Linked DNA regions of Canis lupus familiaris. Each later gene encodes a partner of the first gene's protein in a complex. Links are inferred from orthologs where the notes say so. Each region holds a gene or a part of one and is shown in the gene's direction. Other genes may lie near its edges.

What was found.
Region 2: the proteins of MAPK10 (region 1) and SH3BP5 are in contact, whole or in part, in a crystal structure (PDB 4H3B), measured with the Homo sapiens proteins. The link is inferred for Canis lupus familiaris from reciprocal best matches to the Homo sapiens genes MAPK10 and SH3BP5. Residues at the interface, in NP_620448.1 of Homo sapiens: Lys121, Asp150, Ala151, Gln155, Val156, Met159, Leu161, Glu164, Arg165, Tyr168, Tyr171, Val197, Lys198, Ser199, Asp200, Cys201, Trp362, Asp364, Glu367; in NP_004835.2 of Homo sapiens: Val341, Val342, Arg343, Pro344, Gly345, Ser346, Leu347, Asp348, Leu349, Pro350.

Annotation. Positions count from the first base shown.
Region 1 is NC_049253.1:30,096,297-30,101,729, forward strand, and holds the start of MAPK10 (mitogen-activated protein kinase 10), read left to right. Parts: upstream 1-2,021; 5' UTR 2,022-2,084; intron 2,085-3,122; 5' UTR 3,123-3,247; intron 3,248-5,433. UniProt on the Homo sapiens protein: Serine/threonine-protein kinase involved in various processes such as neuronal proliferation, differentiation, migration and programmed cell death.
Region 2 is NC_049244.1:27,840,917-27,845,783, forward strand, and holds part of SH3BP5 (SH3 domain-binding protein 5), read left to right. Parts: intron 1-719; coding exon 720-762; intron 763-1,464; coding exon 1,465-1,684; intron 1,685-4,411; coding exon 4,412-4,672; intron 4,673-4,867. UniProt on the Homo sapiens protein: Functions as a guanine nucleotide exchange factor (GEF) with specificity for RAB11A and RAB25. Inhibits the auto- and transphosphorylation activity of BTK. Plays a negative regulatory role in BTK-related cytoplasmic signaling in B-cells.

The DNA of each region.
Region 1 (5,433 bases):
CATATTGTATAGTTACAATTTGCTAAGAGAGTAGATCTTGAGTGTTCTTACCCATCCCCCCAAAGGTAAATATGATATGTGAGGTGACGACACAATAATTAACTTGACAAGGGGAATCTTTTCACAGTGTACATGTATACCAAATCATCACATTGTATACCTTAAATGTCTTACAGTTTTGTCTGTTATACTTTAATAAAGCTGAAAAAAATAAAAAGAATAGCCTTTTTAATGAAGATATGAATTGCTGCAAAGTGGAAAGAAGTCGAATTTCTAGACCAAAGTCAAATATAATCCATGATGTCATGACGCTTTGGTCATGTTTCTGAGGCACAGCAGCAAAGCAAGGATAAGGAATTGCTTTGTGCATGGATTGAAGTGTGGATAAACCTGGGGATGTCTAGCAAGAATAACTGTTTCTTTATCTCACAAATCAGCTTCTACTGTAATATTAAAAAAAAGTATTTTTTCTATTAGCATAGTTTTTCAAAAGTCAAATACTCTAATTAGATTTTTTAAGCTCTTGCTACCTGAGGAAACTGAAGCTTCTTTGGTATTATTTATAACTAGAACTCCACATCCCCCCTTTATTACTGTAAACTAAATCCACACTTTCAAAAAAATCTACCCAGGACATTGAAAAGCTGTGTAGAACTACTATTTTCTTTGAAGCAGATATTCTGCATTTAAAAAGTATGTTTTACCACACAAGGACATAATTTGGCTAGTTAGGGTGTTCTTAGTGAAAAAAAAAAAAAAGAATCTTTTTATAAGGTTAATAAAAGTTGGTTCAAAGTACATTTTCTGCCATTGAATTTTAGCAGTTGTCATCTGTCCACTAGGAAAATCTTTCAGCAGACCAATCTTATCTACTTTCTTTTAATGTGAATATAGTTGTTTTCTGAATGTTAAATTGACTTATAAGTGAAAAGATAATTAAAAGTGAATGCAACATGCCATTGTATATTTGTCAAAACTCATAGAACTGTACAATACAAAGAGCAAAATCTAATATAAACGATGGACTTTAATGGATAATAACATGTTATTATTATTTGGTTCATCAATTGTAACAAACTTACTATACTCATAAAACATGTTAATAATAGGGGAAACTGTTTTGAGGGGACAGCAGAGTATATGGGGATTCTTTGTACTTTTCTGCTCAGTTTTTCTGTAAACCTTGAATTGCTCTGAAATATAAAATCTATTAATTAAAAAGAAAAGTGATACAGAGATAGGTCCTTTCATCTTCTGTGACATCAATCACAAAGTTTACTGTCATTAGAAATCATTACTATTCTATTTTTTATTGAGGCATAATTGACATACATGCATTACATTACATTTATTTCAGATATACAATAAAATAATTTGACATCTGTATATATTAAAAAATGATCACCACAATAAGTCCAGCCAACATTTATCACTCAGCCTCATTGGACATGGAATGTTGTCCCTCTCTTAAATCTAGAGCTGCGGGCACCTCTGTATAGAATTTTTTTCTTGTGATAAGAACTTTTAAAGATCTGCTCTCTCTGCAACTCTCAAATATACAATGCAGTATCATTAACTGTAGTCACCATGCTATACATTACATCTCCATGATGTTTATTTTGTTACTGGAAGTTTATCCCTTTTGACTCCCTTCACCCATTTTACTCACTCCCCACACCACCTCTGGCAACCATCAATCTGTTCTCTGTATCTATGAGCTTGGCTTTTTCTTTTCTTTTTAGATTCCACATATAAGTGAGATCATGTGTTATTTATCTTTGTTTGCTGACTTATTTCACTAAGCATAATGCCCTGAAGGGCCATCCAGGTAGTTGTAAATGGCAAGATTTCATTCTGTTTTATGGTTGAATTATATATATATATATATATATATTTTGCAGTCCACTGATGGACACTGATGGTTTCCATATCTTGGCTGTTGTAAGCAATGTTACAATGAACACGAGGGTGCAGATATCTTTTCAAATTCGTTTTTTTTGCTTTCTTCAGATAAATACCTAGAAGTAGAATTGCTGGATCATATGAAGAACCATTAGTATCTTGAGTTCACCATCATGGCCGTGGTAAGCTATTGGCCTTGTGTTTCCCATCCAAACAATATAATAAAAGATATTAATTATAGATAAGCTGCATTTGAGAAATTATTTTAAGATATAAATTTTGACTCAATTTTGAGAAATTTTGTTTTTTTTAACTTCAAGTTTTCTCAGTGCTTTTAATTTAGTAATATGAAATATAACTTTCCAAAAGTGAGATGTTGAATGCAGCAACTCTGAAACTTTTAAATTATGAAATAGTTTTCCAAAGGACTAGAGATCCCCAAGTGGAAGCATCATGAAAAATACATGACAAACTCTCTGAGAAAAGCCATTATTATATATCTTGAAATGACAGTGAATCAACAATGACCCTCTGCATTCCCTTCATATGTATTCACTCACCCAGTTATACTGGTTTATCTTTCATAATTTGCTTGTGTTTACCAAACCATTTGCAACCTCTTGCCACCATATTAATTTATGACATAATAATCTAATTGTTGGAAGTGTTAGCTAGGTGACAGTCCTCTTTAGCAACCCCACTATTATAACTAATTCTTGACTTCTTTCTTTTGTAACTTTTGAAGCTGGGACCTTTAATTCTCATCTGAGGGTTCAAGTCCATTTTAGACTTTAGGCTAGGATGATCAACCTTCCAATTTTGCCTGGGACCAAGGGATTTCCTGGTATGGGGGACTTGCTAATCTGGGAAGTTTCTGGCAAATGGCGATGAGTAGGTAACCCTAGGACCAATTTTGATAAGAGATCTTAGTGCAGTAGTTAGTTTTACTGCTAAGCTCCCGTGAATGCACTTCGACTTGGATTCAGAAGTTGAATTCTTGCTCCAATTTCACTGACTTGATTCCTTCGTGTTTCCCTATTCCAGAGTCCCTTCCCATTTGCTGTTTGGAAAGCCAATTCATCAGTACCTTCATTTCCTCCAGAGAATTGAGTCCTAACACTGAATGATAGCTCCTACAGCAGAACCTAAGGATCTCCTTCTTGCCAGGCTTCTCTGAAAAATTGTTTTTTAATGTCCAAATTTTTATTTCTTGTTTTTAGATAAACCTCCATCAATTGTCTATTTCACTTTGGAGGGTTTGCTAGATCTATTAAGATCCTATTGACACCGATTCTGGCCTTTCCTTTTGCTGGGTTTGCTTGCATCTGCAAAATCAAGATTCAAGGTATGGTATCAGATTTGTAGGTTTAGGAACTCTAATTTATTGCTCATTCAGCACTTTTCTTCTTCTTGGGAACTGATTTACTATTATTTTTAAATTGTGACTCAATTTACATGGAGTTAAATGCACTAATTTTAGGAATTACACTTTGAGGAGTTCTGACAAATACTTACACCTATGTAATAACTTGCACCTCTATCAAGATATAGCACATCTTCTCACTACAGAAATTTCCCTCTTGCTCTCATCACAATCTTCAACTGTGTGGCTCCCCCAGGCAATCACAGTTCTGATTTCCATCACCATAGAACAATTTTTTACTTTATAAGTGGGTTTATAAAGTAAATGCTCTCTTTTGTCTCATTTTTTTCACTTAGCATAATGTTTTTGAGATTCATTGATGTTATTGCATGTTTCAGTATTCATTTTGAAAAGGTAATATCAAAAAGTTTTTATTTCTAAGTGAAAGGACATCTTCTTATTTAGAAAATAAGGAATATTCCTGCAAATCTTCAGTCCTACCTCAAACTATAAGCATGCTATAAAATAAAGATATTTGTATATAAGAAATACTAAATACAACTCTGTGTTTTTGAAAATAAAAACTTGTACTCATTTATTCACCTAAAACTCTTCTTTCAAAAGCCTTTATGACTGATAGTACTAATAGAATTCAGGTCAGACTTCTAGACTAAATAGTTTCATTTGAAAACACTAAAAATAGTTTAAAACAGGGGATCCCTGGGTGGCTCAGTGGTTTAGTGCCTGCCTTCGGCCCAGGGTGTGGTCCTGGAGTCCCAGGATCGAGTACCCACATCAGGCTTCTGCATGGAGCCTGCTTCTCCCTCTGCCTGTGTCTCTGCCTCTCTCTCTCTCTCTCTCTCTCTGTGTCTCATGAATAAATAAAATCTTAAAAAAAAGAGTTTAAAACAGTTAATGTTTAAATATTTAATATTATAACAGAAATTGCCTCCTTTAGTATTGGGTATTTCAAAACTTAACACTCCATAATAATATTTGAGATAAAAAGTTTGATAGCTGGTAAAAGAATGTTATAACCTTACTGATCACCTACTAAGTGTAAGAAAATATGACAGATTCCTGGAAAAGGGAAATTTCAGGGAAAACAATGAATAATAAAGAAGATTAAGTTACAGTCAAGTTTGAGGTAGGATATTGTATAGTTATAAAATTAGAGTAATACAACATATAGTTTGGTAAACACTAAATGAAAGGGAAGAGATACTTTCATGGGAGTTTATGTGGTGGGTACAACTATGCATAAATAGAGTGCCTGCCAAATACAATGGTGTCAATAGGTATCTATTGTTTTTCTTTTTCTGTCTTTGATTAAAATTGTATTTTGGGGAGGAAGGGAGGCTCTAAAACAGATTGTGTTGGGTTGAGGAATTGCAATGGAAGTTTACGTTAGGATCATCTTATTGAGGACACTAAGTAAATAGTTTTTATTTTATCCAGTCAGAAAGGGGATTTATTTAGCGTTGATTTTTTAAAAAGCCAACTTATATTAAATTATCTTATTTGAGGAAATTTTCTTATAGTGTATAGAATAGATTTAAAAGACCATTTGATCATCTAAATATTACTGAAATGAGTAGGTTGGGAATTAAAGCTCTAAATAGTAAAATCAACCTTTAAATCTAAAAGCAGTGTTGGAATCTATTTTTCTTTGTAAATTGTACCGTCAAGAATTAGTACCTGGGGCGCCTGGATGACTCAATGGTTGAGCATCTGCCTTTAGCTCAGGTAGTGATCCCAGGGTCCTTCCTTGGATGAGTCCCACATCGGGCTCCCCGTAGGGAGCCTGCTTCTCTTTCTGCCTATGTCTCTGCTTCTCTCTGTGTGTGTCTCATGAATAAATAAATAAAATCTTAAAAATAAAAAGAATTAGTACCTAATTGAAAAAAATGGTTGGTTTTAATCTATTCATAGTTGTCATTCTTTTTTATTGCTGAATAGTATACTATTATAGGAATATATCATAATTTGCTTATTCATTCTCCTGTTGAAACACTTTGAGTTGTTTCCAGTTTTTTCTTTTCTTTTTTTACCAATTACAAATAAAGTTGGCATACATTTTTATGTACAAGTTTGGTTTTGGTTTTTGTTTTTAGTGGAAATATGTTTCTATTCTCTTGAGTGACTATCTATGAAGAGAATTGCTAAGT
Region 2 (4,867 bases), on another chromosome or scaffold:
CCCATGACCTGCTGGGTCTGCAGACTGACACTCATGGACAGAAAGCAAGAGGACCCCTCTGAGCCTCCATCCTTTTGGTGAGGGAGGAATAATGCTTCTCCCTTCTCCAGTGACAGGTGTGTGTTGAGGCAGTCCCTTCTCCAGCCTCGTCTATTCTTTTTTTTAAAGATATTATTTTTTTGACAGCAAGTGAGAGAGCGAGAGCAAGTGAGAGTGTACAAGTAGGCAGAGTGGGAGGGAGGGGAGAAGCAGGCTTCCCCACCGAGCAGGGAGCCTGACATGGGGCTCCATCCCAGGATCCTGGGATCATGACCTGAGCCAAAGGCAGAGGCTTAACTGACTGAGCCACCCAGGCAACCCCAGCCTTGTCTGTTCTTTACTCTGAAGGAGACAGCCTCCTCCTTAGGAGAAGGGGATCTGGGCTTCCTTAGCTGCTGGGCACGCCCTGGATGGTCCTGAAGAGCCTCCTACAGAGGAAAGTGAACCAAGGTTTAAGGGCCCCAGGATGAGTGTTCACATGTGTGGGTCCCACAGGTCTTGAGATGGGTGGGCCCTTTGAGCAGTTCTGACTGGCACCTGTGTCCATCTACGAGTATCATCTTCATCTCCTGGCCTTGTCAGAGTTGACGAAATCCTGGACGGTTGGCCTGCCAGCCCTAGCTAGTGGTGTCTGTCGGGGTCGTCGTATTCTCACCCTCACAGTTTTGTGTCTTCCACAGGCCTTATTTTGAACTCAAGGCAAAGTACTACGTGCAGCTTGAGGTATGTGTGGCGTTCTTTGGCTTTGCTGTTGGCTTTTCTGCACTCAAAGCTCCACTTTTATGTGGTAGTGGACTTTCTACTGGCATATTGGTAGAAGAGGTGAATGGAGAGAGAAACACATTCTTTACTGAGTTTTCAGGACTCAAAATGGCCTTGGTTGGGTCTTCAGTGGCCTCTGAAGTGCTCTGAATCTTCTGCCCAGCCACTTTCTGTACTGTCCCCGGGCAGTGGCTCCTCGGGGCTCCTAGGACCAGTGTCGTCATCACCCGGGGAGTGTAGGTTCCTAAGCCCCACCCCAGACACAGACTGCAGGTGGAGCCCAGCCATCTGTGTTTTAAAAAGGCCTCCAGGGGATTCTAATGCAAGTTCGAGAACCCCAGTACGAGGGACCAAATGGCCAGAAAGTGGGACCGGTGTGAGTTAGACACCCCTTACTGTTTCTCTGGGGGCTTTATTCCGCCAGTGGTAGTTTCTGGTTCTTAGCTCGAGTTTGTCACCTGGATGGGGGTTGGGGCTGGTGGGGACTGCTGTTTTATCTGGTGTGTGGATAGCTAGATGAGAGAAATCAGGCCATCGGTCACATCTTGGGGAAGTTTGGAGTAGAGTGACGGGCAGAAAATGGGCTTGAACCTGTCATTCAAAAGCCTCTCCAGGCCGGGAGTGGCTGCCTCCACTTACTGAGCCTCCTCTTCTCCTGAGCAGCAACTGAAGAAGACTGTGGATGACCTGCAGGCCAAACTGGCCCTGGCGAAAGGCGAGTACAAGACGGCCTTGAAGAACCTGGAGATGATCTCCGACGAGATCCACGAGCGGCGGCGCTCCAGCGCCATGGGGCCCCGGGGCTGCGGCGTGGGGGCCGAGGGCAGCAGCACGTCGGTGGAGGACCTGTCAGGGAGCAAGCCTGAGCCAGATGCCGTTTCCGGTGAGTTGGGGGCTCCTGCGCAAGGGCGAGATGACGCCGTAGCTTGTGTGGTCTGCTTCCAGAGCTGTCTCGCCAGTATGGAAGCGCCTCAGAGTTGGCAGGCCGGAGACTTGGCTCTTTCTCATGGCTTCCCACATTTTGCGGGACACCGTATTCATCGAGGTGCTACTGAGTGTTCTCAGAGTCAGGCTTCTGTGGTGGATGAGTTTGGAAAATGTTACACTTTCACGCTCCCTGACATTCAGAGTATGTGTTAGAACATTCAGGGCTCTGAGCAGTACTGCGGGAAGGGAGAGTTGCCTAATAGGGCCCCGTGCACTTCGACTGGATTCAAATCCTGGCTCCCCCGTAGTACATGATGTGGGCAAGGGCTCAACTCTGTTTCTTTACCTGTAAAATACGGAGTATGAGTACCTGGTATCCACTGTGTAGAAGGGAGGTTAGAATTAAATGAAATAATGTAGGCACCCAGAAAGTCTGAAAATGGTGGCCCTCACTGGTATCGAACCGTGGAGACCTTTTTTCCCCCAGGGCGACCCCGTGGGAAACTGAGAGACAAATTTGGTGTGCCCCGCACTTTTATCATTTTACTTTTTTCACCATGATAAGTATACTCTTGAATTCCCATCCCCTATTTCCTCCATCCCTCTGCCCCCTCCCCTCTGGTAACCATCAATTCTCTGTAGTTAAGTCTGTTTGTTTGTTTTTTTGTCTTTTTCTTCATTTATTTCTTAAATTCCACATCTGAGTGAAATCATACGGTATTTGTCTTTGACTGATCTCGCTTAGCATTATACCCTTTTGCTCCATTCATGCCATTGCCAGTGGCAAGATTTCAATCTTTTTGATGGCTGAGTAATATTCTATACCCACCCCCCCATCCATTGGTGTAGACACTTGGGCTACTGATACCTTGGCTATTGTAAATAATGCTGCTATAAACATAGGGGTGCATGTATCCCTTTGAATTAGTTTTTGTATATTTCTGGGTAAATACCCAGTACTGCGCTTCCTGAATCATAGGATAGTTGTATTTTTAACTTTTTGAGGAAACTCCAGACTGTTTTCCACAAAGGCTGTGCCAGTTTGCATTCCCACTACAGTGCAGGAGGGTTCCTTTTTCTCCACAGCCTCACCAACACCTGTTTTCTTGTGTTTTTGATTTTAGCTATTCTGACAGGTGTGAGGTGATATCTCATTGTGGTTTTGATTTGCTTTTCCCTGATGATGAGTGATGTTGATCTTTAGGTGTCTGTTGGCCATCTGGATGCCTTTGGAGAGATGATGTCTGTGCATGTCTTCTGCCCATTTCTTAACTGGATTATTTGGGTTTTTTTGGGTGTGGGTTGACTTGTATAAATTCCCTTAATATTGGATATGTTTTCCTTCACTGTGCAGAAGCTCTTTGACGTAGTCCCAATAGTTTATTGCTTTCATTTTCCTTGCCTCAGGAGGCCTATCTCAAAAAATGCTGCTACGACTGATGTCAGAGACATTATTGCCTGTGTTCTTTTCTAGGATTTTTATGGTTTCAGGTCTCACATTTAGGTCTTTAATCCATTTTGAGTTTATTTTTGCGTATGGTGAAAGAAAATAGTTGTTTTCCCTTTAGATTAAGAAAACTTCCAGCACTGTCTTTGCACACTTCCTTCCGTTTTCTGTGGAATAATCCTTATTGGTGCTCTCAAGGAGGTCCTTCTGGAGTTTTAAAATTCAGTAAACAAATGTTTAAGCCAGGTCCAACGGAAAGGAAAATCTGATCATCAGTAATGTGTGAGGTACTCTACTACCCATCTTCTCATATGGAGGAGAACATGAAGCTCAGAGAGGCTGAGGAAGGCTACACAGCAATTAGTGGAGAACAGGATCTGAGTTCAGATATGAGCCTGTTTTCTGAGCTCAGCATTTCAGTAATTTTCATTTATGGTAGTCCTTTAGGGGATGCTACTGCTGTATCTCCCCCACCTCCCTCAACCACTGCTGTTTTTAAAGATAAGGGAGGAGGGAAAAAGAGAATAGGAAAGGTCTAAAAAGCAGGATTGTATGCAGGCTGAGGGGAAAACAGTGAAAGGTGAATGTGGCTTTCAAACCACAAGAATGATCTGTCCTCTGAACCTTGCTTATTCTGATCCACAAAATGAGGCCCAAGTTTAGAGCATTTTAAAGGAATTTTGTCCTTTTGCAGCAAATGGTGATATACTTTGTCTTTTATGTGATCAGAAGGTGCCTGGAAGATCACAGAATCCCAACAGTTACTCCACACAGGACCATTTCTTTTTGTAGCTCCTGCTTCTGCTGCATGGAAGCAGCTGTTACGGCTGACTGGCTTTGTTTAGTGTGCATCACAAAGGGCCACTCTCTTTCTGTACATGTGGATCTACCTGGGGACCTGGGGCGGAGAAAAGCCCCTGTTCTGGGGCAGATTCATCCTCCAACTTTAGGTAGTGTATTGAAGTAGTTGACACTGACTTCTAGGGTAGAAGTTAGGAGGTTATTTTAAGGACACGGGATATCCATGGGGTCCAACTGCTTCCCTTTGAAGTTGGCAGTCTGGCCATGCAGGCTTGGGAGGGTCAGGGTCCTTTTCTTAGGTGCCCACGGTGGCAAGGATTCTGTGGTCCCCAGGCCGCATCCAGCTGCCAGCCAGAAGTGCACACATCTAGAGGGGTTTCAGGAACTAGGTTGTTCTCCGTCAGAACCTACGACTGGTATTGTCTCTCCTCCTAGTGGCCTCCGAGGCCTTTGAAGATGATAACTGCAGCAACTTCGTGTCTGAAGATGACTCGGAAACCCAGTCTGTATCCAGCTTTAGTTCAGGGCCAACAAGCCCATCTGAGATGCCTGACCAGTTCCCTGCAGTCGTGAGGCCTGGCAGCTTGGATCTGCCCAGCCCTGTGTCTCTGTCAGAGTTTGGGATGATGTTCCCGGTATTGGGCCCTCGCAGTGAATGCAGTGGAGCCTCATCCCCCGAATGTGAGGTAGAACGAGGTGAGTGACCGCCCTCTCAGCCAGTAGTGCCTTTGCCAGATGCCTCGCTGCCTCGGGAGTCAGCTTTCCGTGCTGCTCTAGACCTTTGCCAGGTCTCGGCACTCCCGTGCTGCATCCCTGGACCCCTGCGAATGTGCATTGTGTTGACCACAGAGATGCTGGCTGCTGTTTTGGGAGGGCTCTGCTTGGCTCTGC